4 linked regions of the Drosophila melanogaster genome follow. The protein of the gene in region 1 purifies or fractionates together with the protein of each later gene. This does not show direct contact. Each region holds a gene or a part of one and is shown in the gene's direction. Other genes may lie near its edges. The genes, in order: Rdh1, CG5447, CG13887 and Karybeta3.

Region 1 (3,747 bases):
ATTGCCAAGCGAGGAGGCACTGTGTACATGGCATGCCGGGATATGAACCGGTGCGAGAAGGCGCGCCAGGATATTATCAGGGAGACAAATAACCAGAACATATTCTCTCGAGAACTGGACTTGAGTTCGCTGGAATCCATTCGCAAATTCGCTGCTGGGTAAACGCAAACATGATAGATCGACGAATGCGTTACTGATTTCCCTCGTTTATTAGATTCAAGAAAGAGCAGGATAAGCTTCATGTCCTGATAAACAATGCAGGAGTTATGCACTGTCCCAGAACACTGACCAAGGATGGCTTCGAAATGCAGTTGGGAGTCAACCATATGGGACACTTCCTGCTCACCCACTTGCTGCTGGACGTATTGAAGGTATTTTGGGTACTCAGGACTTTCTTAGCACCTTGTTAACCAAACTCCCTGCTTAATCTCACTAGAAAACTGCACCCAGTCGCATCGTGAACGTTTCCAGCCTGGTGCACACCCAAGGTTTCATTAAAACTGCCGACCTAAACAGTGAAAAGTCGTACAGCAGAATCGGTGCCTATAGTCAGAGCAAGCTGGCCAACGTCCTGTTCACCCGGGAATTGGCCAAGCGCCTGGAGGGAACGGGGGTCACAACCAACTCCCTACATCCCGGTGCCGTGGACACGGAGCTGTCGAGGAATTGGAAGTTCCTGAAACACCCCTTTGCACAGTAAGATAGAAGACATAAGTGGGCACTACTTGAGTTTGATATTAACACTCGTATCGCTTAGGCTACTGCTCAAGCCCCTCCTGTGGGTACTCTTCAAAACCCCTCGCAATGGAGCGCAGACCACTCTCTACGCAGCCCTGGATCCTGCACTAAAGGATGTTTCCGGGCTCTACTTTAGCGACTGCCAGCCAAAGGAAGTGTCCGCAGCTGCCCAGGACGACAAGACTGGAAAGTTCCTCTGGGCGGAGAGCGAGAAGTGGACCGGCGTGAATTCAACCAAAGTTGATTAAGCAACCATTAGTTTATCCCTCGCCATTTCATAATTTATTATTTTAATAGCTTATCATAATGAAGACTAACGCAAAATGTAATAATTTATGTTTGAATTGTAGAATTCTTACGGATTCTACAAGCTGAAAATAAAGAAATGCTCCCAAAAAAGCTTTACCTAATCTAAAATTTGTATTTTGAGATCAACATTGTTGCATTTCTGTGTTCAGTACTAAAGAAAAATGGTCAAATTCTTTTGTTTTTTTTGTAAAAGTGATGGAATCAATTTGGATGATTCATGCTTTATTTTTGTACCCGTTATTCCTGGAGTAGGAGGGTATACTAAATTAGTTGGAAAGTATGTATGTAACATAACGAATCAGTTAGTTCCCTATATCTCGACGTTCAAACGGACGGATATGGCTGGATGGATCGTTTTGACTAGTGTTGCTGATCAAGTCTAAATATAAACTTTATTCTATATGTTACATACTGTTCAGCGAACCTATTATACCCTTTTACTCCACGCGTAATATACCCATTGAGTAAATATAAACATCAATGGAATTGCTTTTATTTGTTTGAATGCTTTCCACTATCATAACATATTATTGAGAATTCGTTTTCTCTTGACCTTCGTTAAGAATCTCTCTCCCGACGTTCTCCATTTCGTCAGGTTCTCACTCCGAATTAGCGATAATATATGTTTGTGTGGGGTAGCTGTGCTCAGTAATATATTAACAGCTGTGCTGTTCGTACCAGAACGCACTCAACGATTGAAATAAGATCTGACAACACCCTAAATACAAGGAATTGTACAAAGATATTCAAAATGTGCATTTTCATCGATTGCTTATTGAGCCCCTTGATTATGTGGCCAGCTACTATCGGCGTGGGCATCTACTTCTTGAAGTGAGTTGCGGTAATTATTTCGTGTAATTATGAAATATACCAGTGTGACTACGCATCCATGACTCGCTACTATGATTCCCCCGGGTAATAGATAACAGCTTTTCAGGTAATTCCTATTGATAATTCCAGGGAGTACATGCAAGGTGGAAAGTTTACGAAGGACACCGATGAGACCGGAAAGGTATTCATTGTGACCGGTGCCAACACGGGCATTGGCAAGGAGACGGCTCTGGAGATAGCCAGACGTGGGGGAACTGTGTACTTGGCTTGCAGGGATATGAACCGATGTGAAAAGGCCCGCAAGGATATCATCAAGGAGACAAATAACCAGAATATATTCTCTCGAGAGCTGGACCTAAGTTCCCTAGACTCCATTCGCAAATTTGTTGATGGGTAAGCTTACCTCCAGAGAATTTTCTTGTCTCTGTAAGATTTAAAAACCTATCCTATCAATCAGCTTCAAGAAGGAGCAACCCAAGCTTCACGTCCTGATCAACAATGCCGGCGTGATGCGTTGTCCCAAGACCCTAACCAAGGATGGCTACGAACTGCAGCTGGGAGTAAATCATATTGGTCACTTTTTGTTGACTAACTTGCTGCTCGACGTACTGAAGGCAAGTGTGCTATATAATAGTCAAGTGCGTCAGATAATGGTCTTACAAAATTTCAGAACTCGGCTCCCAGTCGCATTGTCGTTGTGTCCAGTCTGGCACATGCGCGTGGCTCCATTAACGTAGCCGACCTCAACAGCGAGAAGTCGTATGATGAGGGCCTAGCCTACAGCCAGAGCAAGTTGGCCAACGTCCTGTTCACCCGGGAATTGGCCAAGCGTTTGGAGGGCAGCGGAGTCACAGTAAATGCCCTTCACCCTGGTGTGGTGGACACTGAGCTGGCGCGGAACTGGGCCTTCTTCCAGACAAACCTTGTGAAGTAAGTGATGAATAAGTGAATTAGGACCTTCCCAGTAATACCTGTTAACCTTCCTAGGTTCTTTTTAAAGCCAATGATTTGGCCGCTTTTAAAGACACCGAAGAGTGGAGCTCAGACCTCGATTTACGCTGCTTTGGATCCGGAGCTTAAGAACATCTCTGGCCTGTACTTCAGTGACTGCAAACCAAAGCCTGTGGCTTCTGGTGCCTTGGACGATAAGGTTGCCAAGTTCCTGTGGGCCGAGAGCGAGAAGTGGACCGGATTAGATAAGCTGGAAGCTAATAACTAAAGAAGAACGAATAGTGTTAGAACAAGCCTTTTATTATACTTGAATACTAGCTGCTGTTTCACGAACGGATTAATAAATAAATACATATTTCTCTAGCTTTCATAAAGCATATTTCATATTTCGCATAAGTCGATTAGTACGCCTGTTGGCTAATAAGTTTCCAGTTTAGTTGGCTTTCTGCTCAGTTGCTCCCGCCGTGATAAACACCCTGGAGTGGAGCACATGGGTTGTGGGTTCCCTCTTCTCTTGCGCATTGTTTACGGTGTTGACGTATGTGTACTGCATATAGAAGCCCAGAACGACGTCTGCTAATCCGGACAGCTCCTCTGCTGGGGTAAACTGTAGCCGCAAAAGCACCTTGTTGCCCTTCCGCCAGACAATAAACTTGGGCTCCTCGGTGGACAGTTGCACGTCCTCGTCGAACTCTTTCGAGTCATCGCGCTGGTTCAGAACGAACTCGCTCTCCAACGGAACTATTTCGGCATTGGATATATCAATCACATCTCGTTTTACCTCCCGTGTTGAGTTTTGACGCGACAGTGTGATGCCCACTGCTTTTAGAAGTGGGGACGAAGAAATGGGTTCCTCTTTCGCAACACGAGTGGCCTCTGTTGACAGCTGTGGATCCTCAGGAGGAGATGCAGTCAACA
Region 2 (4,133 bases), on another chromosome or scaffold:
AAGGAGCGGGGAAAGTATTTGGCCCTGGATCTGGGTGGCTCTAATTTCAGGGTGCTTCTGGTGAACCTGATTAGCAACTCGGACGTGGAAACCATGTCGAAGGGCTATAATTTTCCTCAAACTCTGATGTCCGGATCGGGAAAGGCGCTTTTCGACTTCCTTGCCGAATGCCTGTCGGAGTTTTGTCACTCCCATGGCCTGGAGAATGAATCACTGGCTCTGGGCTTCACCTTCTCGTTTCCGCTCCAGCAGCAGGGACTCTCCAAGGGTATCCTTGTGGCCTGGACCAAAGGATTCAGCTGCGAAGGCGTGGTGGGCAAGAATGTGGTGAGTTTCATGGCGTTCAAACTATTTACGTGTGGTTCTATTAACATTTATATTTAACAAATGAATTTCTTTTAATATGCATTCCTAGGTGAGTCTTCTCCAGGAGGCAATCGATCGAAGGGGCGATCTAAAGATCAATACCGTCGCCATTCTCAACGATACGGTGGGCACTCTGATGTCCTGCGCCTTCTATCATCCCAACTGCCGGATTGGATTGATCGTGGGAACCGGCTCCAATGCGTGCTATGTGGAGAAAACAGTAAATGCCGAATGCTTCGAAGGATACCAGACCAGTCCCAAGCCATCAATGATAATCAACTGCGAGTGGGGCGCCTTTGGGGACAATGGTGTTCTGGAGTTCGTTCGAACTTCCTACGACAAGGCAGTCGACAAGGTAACACCCAATCCCGGCAAGCAGACGTTCGAAAAGTGCATATCGGGCATGTATATGGGTGAACTTGTACGTTTGGTCATCACCGATATGATTGCCAAGGGTTTTATGTTCCACGGCATCATTTCCGAGAAGATCCAGGAGCGATGGAGCTTCAAAACCGCCTATATTTCCGATGTTGAAAGTGATGCACCTGGCGAGTATCGCAATTGCAATAAGGTCCTTAGCGAATTGGGCATATTGGGCTGCCAGGAACCCGACAAAGAGGCCCTGCGATACATCTGCGAGGCGGTGTCCTCCAGGTCTGCCAAGCTATGTGCCTGCGGCCTGGTCACCATTATCAACAAGATGAACATCAACGAGGTGGCCATCGGCATAGACGGTAGCGTGTATCGCTTCCATCCCAAGTACCACGACATGCTCCAGTACCACATGAAGAAGCTCCTCAAGCCGGGCGTCAAGTTTGAGCTGGTTGTTTCGGAGGACGGATCCGGAAGAGGAGCGGCTCTCGTGGCGGCCACCGCAGTCCAGGCCAAAAGCAAGCTCTAAATTCGAAGTTGATATTCTTCAAATGCATGGGAAACGTTACGGACAATGATATATGAGCACAAAATTATGGAAGAAGAAATAAAGATTTAAGGATATAATGGGAACTTTTAATATTATCCTTTCAAACTTAAAATTGTGTCCAGAAATCCGATTTGAATTATGGCGCCAAAGATATAATAATTTTCTGCCTTAGTGGCAACACTGCACATCCATAGTATTTTTTAGTACATGCAGTATTTTTAGAATATTTATGGAACGATAGGGATGGGGTAACACTATTTTGGTATAAAAGCCAACTCGCCATCTGGTAACACTTGGAGTTTGCAAACATTTATCTCTCGACCAATTTAAGGAATTTGAGGCAATTAGGGCATTCCTGTGAGCTTTTCCAGGCCAACTGCGATTACTTCAAGCCAAGACAAACAGGTGGGTAACCAAGCAGGCCGTGCCCCACCGACCAGACCAGCAAAACACCCCCATTTCGGGCGGTGCTGGAAAAAGCAAGGCCAGCTGTCCATTTGGGATTTGGACACTCCACTCTGAGCATCAAGATGATTGCCCTTAACCAAATGCATCGGGCGCTGCAGAGCGAGGCCATTAATGCCATTATCCGCCTTTTCAGCGACAACATGTCCCAAGGCGGTGGCACTACTCCAGCGGGCGGTAATCCCACAGCGCTCCAGGCGACCGGAGGGGGCGTGGTCTTCAGCAAGGTCTTCATCCAGCGCGATTACAGCGAGGGCACCTCCGTCAAGTTCCATACACGGCTGCCCGCTGAGCTGGAGGGCATGGTGACTATATAATACTCTATATTATCTGTGGGATTATCATCCGAACTCATATCGATTCTCGTGCAGATTGAAAGACACGTCTTCGAGGCCACCATCAATAGGCTAAACGAGTTCTACGCCGAGGCGGAGGAGGGATCCTGCGGCACCTATTGCGAGGGCTGCATTGGCTGCATCACGGCCTACTTGATCTATATGTGCTCCGAAACGCACTATGAAAAGGTGCGTCATTTGGGTTTGGATTACACACATGTGGGTCAATGCAATAGAGTCTAGTTCCACTAGGGAACTATTAATAGGGATTAGAGTCAACAATTTCACAAATGTCGATATGCGATCGTATAAGTTATCAAAGTTATTCTCGTTAATGTCCTTGTACTCAAGGTTTTCATATCTGTTTAAGGTATAAAGGTCAGAGAACTTGATAAATCAAGTAGTAGTATTACTTGCTAATTAGTGATCGTGCTATCTGTTATACGAGTTTAAAATAAGGCAGTGGCACTTCCAGCTCTATTGCCTGCACATACTAATGCTCTTTCGCCCCCACAGACCCTTCGCAAGATATCCAAATTTGTGGCTTCCCAAAATGAACGCATTTACAACACCAAGGGACTGCAGCTGATCGATCCCACTTATCGGGGACTTCGCGTCATAGAGATTACAATATTCGATCGTCCGGGGCGAACGTGACTTCCGCTTTCCCATTCAGCCAACGAGTTTTTCATGTGAGATCGAGCAGCTACAGTCGCATCAACAGGCATGTGAAGGAGAAGAGTCCGTTTCAGCAATTATCAAGCAAAAGTCAGCGCCATCAGAGTGCGTTTCCAAAAATATAAATCAATAAAAAGCTGTGGAAGCAGCTAAAGCTTTATAACCTATAACCATATGTGTGAGTATCTCAGATATTCCGCACTCAATTGCAAACTGAACTAACTAACATTTACTTTCGCATCCTTTCAGCTTGGCAAAAGCAGTGGCCAGAGCGTTTTCGGGGCATGCGACTTAGTCACGGGTGTGCTGGTAGATGTGCCTCCGCTGCAGCCACATACTGTATGCTAGATTAGCCGTTAATGATTAGCCAAGGCAGTGTACGGCCAGTTAGTTAGTATTTATGCAATAGCAGGCATAGTCATGTAAGTGAAAAGCTACCGAAACTGCATTTTGAGCCGAAGCAAGAAGCATCAACATATACACACATTCGCATATGTTACAATTGTTTTATTAATCGGACCGAAAGGCCAGCGAGAATTGATTGTTTTGTAATTTGAAAATGAATAGAATTGTATACATCATGTTTGTAGTAGTTGCCAACAATTCGATTGTCTAATGTTGTAATTTCAATATGGCATTAACATTTGCATAAATACACACACACATAGTTCAAGCTTAATCAGACATAATGCATACGCATAACTTTTTCTATACAATACTTACCGATTTCAAACAGCGCCAAATGAACTTACACATAAATCGAATCGAGAATCGTTCGATATTTAATATAAATCAGCAACATTGATTAACATAGTTATATATCTTATAAGAAAAATATATATATTGCCGTCATTTAAACGCGCCTACAACTGTTTTCCTGCGGCGGGTAAACATCGAATTGGAAGCAAACAAGTTAAGCAAAATGTGGCGTGCAAAATTTGTTTTTGCTGATTTTCAATTGTATTTCGCTATTTACTTATCATCTGCGGATATTTGTTATTGTCTGGCGTAGAAAACTTTCGTATATATAAAGGCCTCTAAAGCCTCGTCTTATACATTCACGATTCTTGCAAAGCCGCACAATGAAGCTAAGCACTTATCTATTGGCGCTCGTCCTATTCGCCGGATTCTGCCTGCTGCAGCCTTCCTCAGCCCAGACCAATTCCACCACATCCACCAACACCACAACCACGGAGGCAACCACAACCACCACTGCCAAGGCCACAACCGTTCATAGGAAACATTTTACGATCCGTAATCTCCACTATAAGACAGTGCGCAGGATCCATGTTAACAAGAAATCTGGTTAATAAGATCTTTAGCTTACCAAACAATGGCGAATAAAAAATACCTAAAGAAAACACATT
Region 3 (4,494 bases), on another chromosome or scaffold:
GATTTATACGCAATCACCGCTATGAGGAGGCCATTAAAGCGCTGGAAACATCCCTAATCTACATGCAGGATGCCCAAAAACGGGTGGCTCTGCCCAAATCCAAGGAAGTTCTGGACACATTGACCCTCGATTTTCAGCGCAAACTGCGTCAAATTGAGATGCGAAAGACGCAGCATGGTCTGAACAAGCTGAAGGATTATGCTCCCTTGAAGGAAACCAGTCCCATGCTGCCCCTGCGACCAGAAGCCGGAGCAAGTGGAGGCGCAGGAGGATCCGCTCAGTCGGTGGCCAAGGCAATCGACAAAACAGTGCAGGACTTCGATGCCAAGTTCACCTCCTCCTTGGTGGCAAAGGCCTCTAGCACACTGGCCCATTCGGAGCCCCATATGGAGACGCTGAAGAAGAGCGATTCTGCCCAGGAGGAGCAGGAACACGATACTTGCGATCAGCGGCTGGCGGGCAGTGGAGACCTGGACCTGCCATCCTTGGCGCCCTTGGAGTTGCCCTCCTTCGATTACAGCCTGTTCACCAGCTCCTCGGCTCCTTCGTTGGCCAGCTATGCCGGCATGGCTGAGAGCTTCCAGAAATAGGCCTGGTTAAGATCCATTTGTAAAACTTCAACTAATTTGAAAGATCTCGTGGTAATGCAGTGCCCGCTGAGTGGTGATTAGGATTTAATTTTAGGCACGTTCTTCATTTCAACGTTTTGTGCAGTTCCCTTTGTGAAGTGTATTTGGGAATTCTCTAAATAAATTAAATTAGGTTAATTCACAATAATAATAATAATAATAATACTTTGTGTATTACAATCTAAGTCGTTTATTTGGCCATCAGACCCTTCAGCAGATCATCCATGTCGGTTTCGGTGTCGACATTCTTGAGCAGAAGCAGCACCTGTGCCTCCATCTCGCAGAGGATATCTGGTTTCTGGTAGGTAATGATCAGCGTGTTGAACTGGTGGTGGACAGAGAGGCTCTCCTGCGCGGGCTTGACCCCACAGCGGTCCAGTTCCGGGACCGGGATGACCTTGTAGTACTTCTTGTTCGAGGTGCGCACGACTATGGCACGCTTCTCGGGATCGGCGGTTACGCTGTATGTGTCCAGGGAGTAGGGCATGTTGCGGATGCGCCACTCAATGTTCTTCTTGGTGATCCGCTTGGTCAGCAGTGGCGCGGTGTTGCTCTCCCGCAGGGTGAAATCTCCGCCGGCCAGGGAGTCCGTTTCCTCGCCAGATCCTGGTGGCTTGTTGCCCGACCAGTTTAACTGACGCGGCTCATCGCCCAGCTCGATTTCCCACTCCGACTCGCCCATGATCTTGTTGCTCTTCGATTTCCAGGCCCGCCGCTGCACGATTCCCGTGTCCATGTTGTACTCCTCGGCCATTTGCCTGCCGTCCGGGAATTTGTAGAGCACCTTGCGGGCGCGGCCACTTATCATGGAGTTCTTCTCCGCCGCCTGCAGGTAGTTTAGCCAGTTCTGGTAGGACATCTCTGGGGATTGATGGGATTACCTAGGCACACGTCTCCGCCGGAGATTCGAATATAACAACTGAACGGGGCAGAAAATTTGATCGATGGCGCAAAGTTGAAAATTTGTTGAGAAGCACATTGCGATGGAAACCTGGCAACCCAGCTGCCAGCTTGTTTACATCGCAAGCCGGGTTACCAAGGCACTTTAAAGCATTACATACAATACCTTATGATCGATTTGTCTTGTAATATTTGGAGGTAATGGTTAATTTTAATGCAAAATACGTACTAATTCTTGCCATTTTTTTTACTTACTAATAAAATGATTTTGAAATTCGAATATTTTCCATGAATTCAGCTTTTTTCTGGCTACCCAATTTACAGTTGATTCCAGCGCGCGAGTTGGCAGCCCCGTGCGTACACAAAAAAACAGAGTTGACGTGGCCGGCGCAGTGACTACATAAAATATACGCATATTTCATCACGGCAGCGATTTAATTATTGCTATTTAAAGTAAGCAGCCAGTCACTCCGGCCGTAGTTTATAAATAGCCACTAGACCGTCCGTCCCGAATCCGTAGACTTAGCAGCTAATTTGGACGCATTTCTGCTTACAGGCGGCAGTCGAAAAAAGCGAAAATCCAAGAAGCGAAAATCGAACGAAAAAGGGAATTAATAAAACATTAAAAATGAGTTTGGTGTGGACTTTGATCGCCGGATTTCTCTATGCGGAAATCGCACTGGTCCTTCTGCTGGTGCTGCCGGTGCTCACTCCTTACCGCTGGAACCGGTTCTTCAAGTCCAAATTCCTATCGATGTTGGGACAACAGGCGCACATATATTTCCTGCTGATCATGGGAATTCTGGTCATTTTCCTCCTGGAGGCCATTCGCGAGATGCGCAAGTACTCCGGCTTGCAGCAGTCTAACGAGGTCCACTTGAACGTGGAGATGCAGCACAGCATGAAGCTGTTCCGTGCCCAGCGGAACTTCTACATCTCTGGATTCGCCATTTTCCTTGCCCTGGTCATCCGGCGACTGGTAAACTTGATCTGCACCCAGGCCAATCTCATGGCCCAGAGCGAGGCTTCCTTCAAGCAGGCACAGAGCGCCACTGCAGCCGCACGTTCCTTGCTGGAGAACAAGAACACCGAGAAGGCCAAGGAAGCCGGCGAGGATACCACTCTCATCGAGGTGAGTCCACGTCCCAAACCCCTGCATCCGATCCCCAGGAATGGCATGTCTAGAGAGCTAACACCTAAGACTTTGGAGTTCAATTGGCTACTACCAGCTGTAAAGATATGGCAATGCATATAGAAGGTGTGGTCAAAATATGGCGAGATAATGTCTTTAGCCGACTAAATCTATAAAATCTATACTTCATTCCACTTTCTGGTACATTTTCTCAATTGGTTTTGAATATAAGATACGAAAAGGCTTTAAATGTAGTCTATTAACGATATAGAACTTTAAATACCAGTATATATCATGATTAAAATCTTAAACGTAAACTTAAATCAGTTTGAAGACCGAGTGAATTTGTCATAGGCTTAGTGCTTTTGTTTTGACCGCAGCTAAACGTTTTGAAACCACACCCAAACACATATGTTGGGCCACGATAAACAGAAGCCACCACTCGAAAGTTTAAACCTCTTGTTAACTCTTTAAACAGCTGTCAAGACTGCGGAGACGTGTGCAAGGACTCACCGCCCGAGTGTCCTAAGTATCCCCACCTAGAGCACCCACCTTATATCCATTCCCAAACACCCAAAACGAACAAAAATCCAATCGAAACTCAAACGAAATCCGAATTTTGCAGCTCAACAAGCTGCGCGAGCGCGTCCAGGAGCTAACCTCCGACTTGAATCGCGAAAAGAAGGACAAGGAGGCGGTTAAGTCGCAGGCGGAGAGCATCAACCGCGAGTACGACCGACTCACCGAGGAGTACAGCAAGCTGCAGAAGAAGATAACCATCGGCGGAGGCGGAAACAAGGATGATTAAACTCACTGGAGCCAAGTCCAACATTTAAATAACGATAAGACTTATAAGCATGGCGGTGGGGCAGCGAAAGCAGGCACATTTAAAAGATTATAACGATTTCAAATCGATAGAAAGCACACACATCTTATTGTTAATCCTCATAGATACAACTACATATACCATTTGATAATGATAATGGGGTATATTGATAATGGTCCCTCAACTCAATGTTCGTTTCGTCCGAAGTTTTGTATTTAATTCGTATGTGTTAAGTTTTGTTTGCCACAGTAACACACCCAAAAAGCGTCGTGGCTATTAAAAGAACAACCAAAAAGTACCCATCCAGTTGTGATCGATTCGATGATTCATCTGTTGGCGCGGATAGTCCACATCATGTCTGATAGTACACGGCAATGACGTCAGACGTCGCAACCTGTTTGCATACTTGGAGCTTAGAAATCGGAGGCGTTACATTATCGGTGTGCGAAAAGGGCATCGAATATGTTTCCTTGATAATTACCCAGAAATGCTAATCAAATTCGCATATTTAGTGATCTATCGTGGTTTTGCAGTGCATACTTTAATCTTAACTTGAACAGAGATCATCCTACATAAATTTGCTGTTCAATAAACTGCATTAAAATGCTTACTCCCACCAGAAGCTTACAGAGAAGCTAGGAGCTTCAGATCTCACATAGTGCCACCATTTGGGTGGCATGTACAAACAGTCACCAGGTTGCAGGAGCAGCTGGTAGAACTTCACCTTGGCTACCAAGGGATATGTTTCAGGATCCAGTTGAGCAGCATCTATTCGCGCTGTATTGGCCAAAAACTCACTGTCGTGGGGATACAGATTGTCTGTGTCTGCAGGAGCAGCTAGGATGATCCTCTTCGAACCGAATACCTGGCACAGCAAGTTGTGCTTGGGATCGTAGTGCATGGGAGATACGGTTCCAGCTGGTCCCAGCCAGGCTTTGATGTCCACAGCTCCTGGGGTATCTTCGTTGCTGATGGTGCAGTAGTCGGGAATGGATATATCCTCTTTG
Region 4 (7,893 bases), on another chromosome or scaffold:
GCTTTAAGCAGGAGGTGGACTACGCCTGTCGAGGACCTGTGCAGGGATTTAAGGTGGGAAAATTTGAAAACGTAGCTGTTTGCTTTTTCTTGCTCCAATATGTGTCTACAGTAATGCCAATCTACAGGTACTGCTTCATGCGCCCGATGACGTCCCGCAGGTTTCCAAACAGTTTGTGCGCATTCCCATGGGCAAGGAGGTGCTGATCGCAGTGAAGCCCAACATGATCACCATGTCGTCGGGAATAGCAGAGTACCATCCAGTTCGGAGGCAGTGCTTCCTCAGCCACGAGCGGTCGCTGCGTTTTTTTAAGGTGTACACCGAATCAAATTGCCAACTGGAGTGCTTGGCCAACTTCACGCTGACCAAGTGCGGATGCGTTAAGTTCTCGATGCCCAGAAACGTGGACATGCCTGTATGCGGAGAGGACAAGATCCACTGCTACGATCGGGCAGAAAGGGAGTTGTTAGTCAGGGAATTCAAAAGAGTAAAAGCGCTGAACGCTGGCCGAGAAAATTCGCGGAGCGTGGAATCTGCCTGTAACTGCATGCCAGCATGCACATCCCTCGTCTACAACACGGAGATTTCCCAGGCCAACTTTGATTTGGAAGAAATGCTAGTGGCTGAGGGCGACACTGAGTTCCTGAAGGAGTATCCCGGCTCCCAGATGTCCCGCTTGTCCATTTACTTCAAGCAGAGTCAGTTCATCACTTCAAAGCGGTCGGAGCTTTACGGAATGACCGAGTTTCTGGCGAATTGCGGTGGCATTTTCGGTCTATTCATGGGGTTCTCCATCTTGAGTCTTGTGGAAATGATCTACCACTTCACGTTGCGGCTCTTTACCAATCTGAAGCGCCTGGTTAAAGGATAACCCATTAGCACTATTTCGTAAGTGCGAACAATTCTTATGGTTCCAAAAATTGTGGTTTGAACTAGTTATATACATATTTATACTAATGCTTAGTCTAGCAGAAATTTTTCAATATATGCCATACTAGGTAATTTCAAAACATAGCTGACATAAAAACCAAGACGGAGTCAGTCTTCCCGAACATTTTCAACAGTGGCTTCGATGTCATAATGTCATTATATAACTCAGAATCGGCTGAATTTATTGATTCCAATCTGTGTCGAGTCTTCCGCAAGGACATCCTTCAGCTGAATGTCTTAAACTCTTCAAATGCGACCCAATTTTGGATATATATTTCATATATATTATTTATCAGGCCCATATGGACACCATCTTCCACGTTTATGCTATCTTGAAGGTCTATGATGCCCGTTAACTTAGCACATGAATTCAGAGTAATCGATGATTTTCATAGCTCAACCACCTTACTAATGTCTTCAATGTTTTAATCAACATAATCAACATTTAGTACACACCGACAGCGGTGTATTATCTATAGTCTATCTTATAATCTAGAGTCTGTTCAGAATTTCATTGGGGGTCCTTTACTTTCGAATAATTGCCTTGAAACGAATTGTAACAACCTTATAGTGGCCTCACAGCTGCACATTAACAGCAATGCTTCTTCCGAGGTGTTAGGGTCTTAAATGATCGCAAGAAATACATATGTAAATACAATAATTGAATAAATATTACTTATCATGTCTAGATCGCAGCCCATGTGCAGCTTCTTTTTAAGCTTTTCGGTTCAAGAAAAGCCTTGCCTTTCATCATTTTCACCAATGATTGTTATTGTATTTAGAAAACCTGCACACAAATCGGTGAATGGTGCACTCGGAATAATATGCCATTAGATTTAAATGAGTTTCAAGCCATTTCTTGTTTCTAGCTTACAATATATATATATAATTTACATAGTTATTTTAAACAAGAAACAAACCATTTAAATCTAGGCTACCTGACTTTTTCTTTTAAATACACACAATTCATTCAGTCCTACGGTCTTTGGAAATAGATTGTAATTTTTAGAAATACTTTGTGTTCTCACACTAACACAGTTCTATTTCCGTTAAAAGATCATAATCAACTGTTAAACTTTAGCTAGAGTTTTTGACGGTTCTACAAACGCGCCAGCTATCGGGCATCACTAGTGCGGGCGGCCGCTTGCGCGCCAAAAGCAGTCGCGTTTTATCGATAACGGCGGAGCAGTATTGCCTTAGCGCTTTAGCGAGATTCCAGCGTGTCCACTAAATTGCATAAAAAGTTAAATAAAAGAAAGTTGGATAGGCCGCGCAGCAGCAGCACCCACCAAAGACCAACCATCCCAAGATTCACGGCAATCACGAAAACTGACCAAGAGTGCAGTGCGCTTGTTTGCGAACCTTGGCAACCCAGCCAGTTGTTCCGTTCTGCTCTTTTTAGGCGGCCGCCGTTGCGTGAAGACTGAAGTGAAAATCGTGGTTTCCACGAGTTCCCGTGTTTCGATTCATTTGAACCAGACAGGATAAGATGGCAGCGGATCAGGCCCATTTCCAGCAGCTTCTGGCCTCCCTCTTGTCCACGGACAACGATGTTCGCCAGCAGGCGGAGGTGAGTCCCAATATTCTCGATTACGGCGTGGCAGGGGATCTTGCAGAGCGTATTGCCGTCGCCTCGAAATTTCGATGCGCAATTCCCGCAATGGGTTGCACATGAGCAAAAATATACGGCGGACTGCCATCAATAAGATCTTCTCCCGGCACATATGTATGTATACACACGAACAAACGTCGGTGTGCGAATCCTACGGCCGAAATTTCAGACGAATCTGATTCATCGTACAAAACGTGTTTTCGCCCTCCGCTTTGCCCCGACATTCGCATGTGTGCGAGGGAGAGCCGACGGACAGACGGTGCGAAGCAAGCAAACAAAGCAAAATGGAAGCGAATTGTGCAATTTGCATGGCCGCCACATGATTTTCCATTAGAATTCGTAGTAGGCAATTCGGTTTACCGATTGCCGCCGCAAACGGAAACAAAGAGCAGGTGCGAAATCCATGACACACGGTTCCAGAAATGCAATCTGTCGGTTGATAAGCCACTCGGATTCCGAAGTCTCGCTCCGGCGCCACATGGCACCGCCACGCCCACGCCACACCAGCCAGAAAACCCCACCCACTCTGTTGACCTTGGGCAGATGGCAAGCATGGTACCGCTTCCACCCAAAGTTCCACCTGGATTGCTAAAAATACCTATTCAGAATTGTGACTTTGCTTTTCACTTGAGAGATGGAAATAATCGAGATCCGTTTTAAATTGTTTCAGAGCCCAATGTTGTCAAGGTGGAATTGTATTTACATATATAAATAATATTTATATATTTTAAAATTACATCGAATGGATATGTACAAAAACCATTTTTAATTCCAGGAAGCATACAACAATCTTTCAAGAGAGCTGAAGGTGACGCATCTCCTGGGCAACATCCAAAATGGCCAGCAGTCGGAGGAGGCTCGACAGATGGCCGCCGTGTTGCTGCGCCGCCTGTTTACCACCGAGTTCTTTGATTTCTACAAAGGGGTAGGCATAAAGCCGCGCAGAGAATCGCCCTCTGAGCATCTTTCTAATATTACCTCATTTGCAGCTTCCAGCTGAATCCCAGAACCAATTGCTTCAGCAGATCCTTTTGGCCGTGCAGCAGGAGGTGACGCCGCAGCTGCGTCGCAAGATTTGCGAGGTAGTTGCCGAGGTGGCCAGGAATCTGATCGACGAGGACTGCAACAACCAGTGGCCCGACATCTTGCAGTTTCTCTTTCAATGCGCTAACTCGCCTACGCCGCAGCTGCAGGAATCGGCACTGCGGATCTTCTCTAGTGTGCCTTCCATATTTGGAAACCAGGAAGCTCAGTACATTGATCTGATCAAGCAGATGCTTGCCAAGAGCATGGACGCTGGATCCGATCCGGAGGTCCGAGTACAGGCCGTGCGAGCCGTCGGAGCCTTCATCCTCTACCACGACAAGGAGAACGAGACGGCCATCCACAAGCACTTCGCTGATATGCTGCCCCGCATGATCCACATCACTGGCGAGACCATCGAGGCCCAGGATGATCAGAGTCTGCTAAAGCTCCTGATTGAGATGACCGAGAATTGCCCGAAGTTCCTGCGTCCCCAGCTGGAGTTCATTTTTGAGGTCTGCATGAAGGTTTTCAGCTCGCAGGACTTTGAGGACAGCTGGCGTCACCTAGTGTTGGAAGTTATGGTGTCGCTCGCCGAGAACGCCCCGTCGATGATACGCAAGCGAGCGGACAAGTATATCGTGGCCCTGATCCCGCTGATTCTCCATATGATGACGGATTTGGATGATGACGAGAACTGGTCCACCGCCGACGTGGTCGATGATGACGATCACAGCGACAACAACGTGATCGCCGAGTCCTCGCTGGATCGCCTCGCCTGTGGATTGGGAGGAAAGATTGTGCTTCCGCTCGTAATGAACGCTCTGCCGGTTATGTTGGGTCATGCCGATTGGAAACATCGCTTCGCAGCCCTCATGGCCATCTCGGCCATCGGTGAGGGTTGTCACAAGCAGATGGAAGCCATCCTAGATGAGGTAATGTCCGGAGTCCTGAACTTCCTGAGCGATCCTCATCCTCGCGTTCGATACGCCGCTTGCAACGCCATTGGCCAAATGTCCACCGACTTTGCACAGACCTTCGAGAAGAAGTTCCACAGCCAGGTGAGTCTTAAATTGCAACTGCTTTATCAACTTTCTAATAAGCAATTGAAATTAATTAAATGCTTAACAATTTTCCCTTGTTTCGCCAGGTGATTCCCGGCCTCTTGTCTCTTTTGGATGACGTGGAAAATCCGCGAGTGCAAGCACACGCAGGTGCCGCTCTGGTGAACTTCAGCGAGGACTGCCCGAAAAATATATTGACACGCTACCTGGACGGGATCATGGCCAAGCTGGAGACTATTCTGAACTCGAAGTTCAAGGAGCTGGTGGAGAAGGGAAACAAGCTGGTACTGGAGCAGGTAGTGACGACAATTGCATCGGTTGCAGACACCTGCGAATCGGAATTTGTGGCCTACTACGATCGCCTAATGCCATGCCTTAAGTTCATCATCCAGAACGCCAACTCGGATGATCTCCGCATGCTTCGCGGCAAGACCATTGAATGCGTGAGCTTGATAGGATTGGCGGTGGGGCGGGAGAAGTTTATTGGTGATGCCGGAGAAGTCATGGATATGCTGCTGGTCAATCACACCGAGGGGGGGGAACTAGCTGATGATGATCCGCAGACCTCCTATCTCATCACTGCCTGGGCACGTATGTGCAAAATCCTTGGCAAGCAATTTGAGCAATATCTGCCCCTCGTTATGGGACCAGTGATGCGAACGGCCACCATGAAGCCTGAGGTGGCGATGCTGGACAACGACGAGGTGGAGGACATCGACGGTGATGTGGACTGGTCTTTCATTAATCTTGGCGAGCAGCAGAACTTCGCCATTCGCACGGCTGGCATGGACGACAAGGCTTCGGCCTGTGAGATGCTGGTTTGTTATGCTAGGGAACTAAAGGAAGGATTTGCCGAATACGCTGAGGACGTGGTGCGTCAAATGCTGCCCATGCTTAAGTTCTACTTCCACGACGGTGTCCGCACAGCTGCTGCTGAGTCGCTGCCTTACCTTCTCGACTGCGCAAAAATTAAGGGTCCACAGTATCTGGAGGGCATGTGGATGTTCATTTGTCCGGAGCTGCTCAAGGTAATCGTCACGGAACCGGAGCCAGACGTGCAGTCGGAGCTGCTGAATTCGCTGGCAAAATGCATTGAGACATTGGGTCCGAATTGCCTTAACGAGGATGCCATGAAACAAGTTCTCGAGATTATAAACAAGTATGTTCTGGAGCATTTCGAGCGTGCTGACAAGCGTTTGGCGGCTCGCAATGAGGAAGACTACGACGACGGTGTGGAGGAGGAGCTGGCCGAGCAGGACGACACAGATGTTTACATCCTTTCCAAAATCGTGGACATTACACACGCCCTTTTCCAGACCAACAAGGCTCAGTTCTTACCCGCCTTTGAACAGGTGGCTCCGCACTTTGTCAAGCTACTGGAGCCCAGCCGACCTGTAGCTGATCGGCAGTGGGGCTTATGCGTGTTCGATGATCTGATCGGTGAGTTGGTTTTCTTAATTGAGTTTTGCAGTTCAATAGTACCGCCGATACCTTCAAACATCAAATCATTTGTGCCACCATAAAACTAAAGACTTGTATTCTCATTTACCTACAGAATTTTGTGGCCCCGCTTGTGCTCCATACCAGCAGATCTTTACGCCAGCCCTCGTCCAGTACGTGTGCGATAAGGCCCCAGAAGTGCGCCAGGCGGCTGCCTACGGATGCGGGGTGCTCGGCCAATTCGCTGGTGAGCAGTTTGCGCATACATGCGCCCAGATCATTCCACTGCTGGTGCAGGTCATCAACGATCCCAAAGCCCGCGAAATCGAGAACATCAGTCCGACAGAGAATGCGATCTCGGCGTTTGCTAAGATCCTCAAGTACAACAACTCGGCGCTGAGCAACGTGGACGAGCTGATCGGTGTTTGGTTCTCATGGCTGCCGGTGTCCGAGGATTCGGAAGAAGCCGCCCACATCTATGGCTACCTATGCGACTTGATTGAAGGCAACCATCCGGTCATTCTTGGGGCAAACAACGGCAATCTGCCGCGCATTGTCTCCATCATCGCTGAATCCTTCTGCACCAAGGTGGTTGAGGCGCAGTCCGCCACCGGCACTCGTATGCTCACTATCGTCAAACAAGTGGAATCGAATCCGGAGGTAATGGCTGCTTGTGCCAGCACCTTGAGCCCGGAACAGCAGCAGGCGCTGCAGGATGCCTACCGGGAGCTGGCAAACGTGGCTCCCGCCTAAGATATCGCAATCCCAATCCTCTTCAGACCAAGTCCATTCATGTCGACCAAGCCAAGAAAGGAACGATGGATGCTTCAGCTACTCGTTATCATTATTTTTCATCTTACCGAAATTTTGAAGTATATGTTTAACACATAGATATCCATTTATACAGATATACATTTATGTGTACAATAGAGTTATCCGGGTATATAATTCTATACATATTGTGATTTTAATCAAAACTCTTCTCCCGAAGACAAAAGTCTGCCTCGTTAGAATTTGATATGTTGTATGGATGCGATCCAAATGCCATCCCAATCACACCCAAATTCCAATAGAATATTTTCGTTACTCAAATTTTCATATGTTTAATACATATGTGTGTATATACGGCCCTAACGGCCGCCTCTCCCTGCGGGGAAAACAGGATGTAAACGTTGTCCGAATCGAACGAAATATAATTTTGTGCATTCAAACCAGGATCGACAAATATATTTAAAGGAATAACATTTATTGTATTTTAAACATGATAAAAACGAAATAAATAACAAGTAAATCGATATTTTAATTGCCACGAGCTTATGTTTTAGTATTGCTTTTTATTATTAACCATTCATTCAATTTCAAATTCGATTCCCGCAAAAGACTTTTCAAAAGTCGTTGTGGCAACTCTGTCTGTGGCAGTGAACATGCAGAGGCCTCCTAAACAGCTGATCTGATTCGCAATGGAAAGTAAGCAAATCAAAACAAAGATGGAAAAACTTGGAACATTCAACTCGAATGGAAAACACACATTTTAACATGTTATTTACGAATTTAAGTGATATTAGGCAAACGATATTCTCACTTTAAAGGTGTGCGACTAAACAGGAGCAGAAAATAATTCGTAAAATTAGTGAGAAAATAGCGAAAGAGAGCGTTTCTCTGTTTGCTTTCTAAATCATTAGGTGACTTGGTGGGCAAAGTGCAGATTAAACGCTCAGAATCAGACGAAACCAAAACCCAAAGGTGAGTGAGTGCAACAGGTAGACGGTGAGTGCAGCGGAAGGGCGGATGCGGTTTCGTTGGCCACAGTTCAATTTAGAGCAG

What was found.
Region 2: the proteins of Rdh1 (region 1) and CG5447 purify together in Drosophila melanogaster (affinity purification with mass spectrometry, with the first as the bait; one large-scale study listed by BioGRID). This does not show direct contact.
Region 3: the proteins of Rdh1 (region 1) and CG13887 purify together in Drosophila melanogaster (affinity purification with mass spectrometry, with the first as the bait; one large-scale study listed by BioGRID). This does not show direct contact.
Region 4: the proteins of Rdh1 (region 1) and Karybeta3 purify together in Drosophila melanogaster (affinity purification with mass spectrometry, with the first as the bait; one large-scale study listed by BioGRID). This does not show direct contact.

Annotation. Positions count from the first base shown.
Region 1 is NT_033778.4:7,664,139-7,667,885, forward strand, and holds Rdh1 (retinol dehydrogenase 1), read left to right. Parts: upstream 1-1,689; 5' UTR 1,690-1,798; coding exon 1,799-1,878; intron 1,879-2,007; coding exon 2,008-2,271; intron 2,272-2,335; coding exon 2,336-2,492; intron 2,493-2,548; coding exon 2,549-2,808; intron 2,809-2,865; coding exon 2,866-3,097; 3' UTR 3,098-3,205; downstream 3,206-3,747. Other genes in the region: CG2065 (uncharacterized protein), read left to right, coding at 1-158, 215-371, 437-696, 758-986; DCTN4-p62 (dynactin 4, p62 subunit), read right to left, coding at 3,263-3,747.
Region 2 is NT_033777.3:26,450,965-26,455,097, forward strand, and holds CG5447 (uncharacterized protein), read left to right. Parts: upstream 1-1,569; 5' UTR 1,570-1,693; intron 1,694-1,889; 5' UTR 1,890-1,896; coding exon 1,897-2,058; intron 2,059-2,124; coding exon 2,125-2,277; intron 2,278-2,604; coding exon 2,605-2,745; coding exon of another isoform or gene 2,746-2,784; 3' UTR 2,785-2,944; intron 2,945-3,015; 3' UTR 3,016-3,621; downstream 3,622-4,133. Other genes in the region: Hex-t2 (hexokinase testis 2), read left to right, coding at 1-327, 416-1,267; CG43117 (uncharacterized protein), read left to right, coding at 3,849-4,076.
Region 3 is NT_037436.4:835,964-840,457, forward strand, and holds CG13887 (uncharacterized protein), read left to right. Parts: upstream 1-1,897; 5' UTR 1,898-2,157; coding exon 2,158-2,661; intron 2,662-3,139; coding exon of another isoform or gene 3,140-3,190; exon of another isoform or gene 3,191-3,286; coding exon 3,287-3,469; 3' UTR 3,470-3,968; downstream 3,969-4,494. Other genes in the region: CG42554 (uncharacterized protein), read left to right, coding at 1-590; CG13901 (uncharacterized protein), read right to left, coding at 820-1,488; JMJD5 (jumonji domain containing 5), read right to left, coding at 4,095-4,494.
Region 4 is NT_033777.3:4,647,268-4,655,160, forward strand, and holds Karybeta3 (karyopherin beta 3), read left to right. Parts: upstream 1-1,908; 5' UTR 1,909-2,419; coding exon 2,420-2,500; intron 2,501-3,317; coding exon 3,318-3,467; intron 3,468-3,531; coding exon 3,532-4,626; intron 4,627-4,715; coding exon 4,716-6,069; intron 6,070-6,184; coding exon 6,185-6,822; 3' UTR 6,823-7,357; downstream 7,358-7,893. Other genes in the region: rpk (ripped pocket), read left to right, coding at 1-71, 128-871.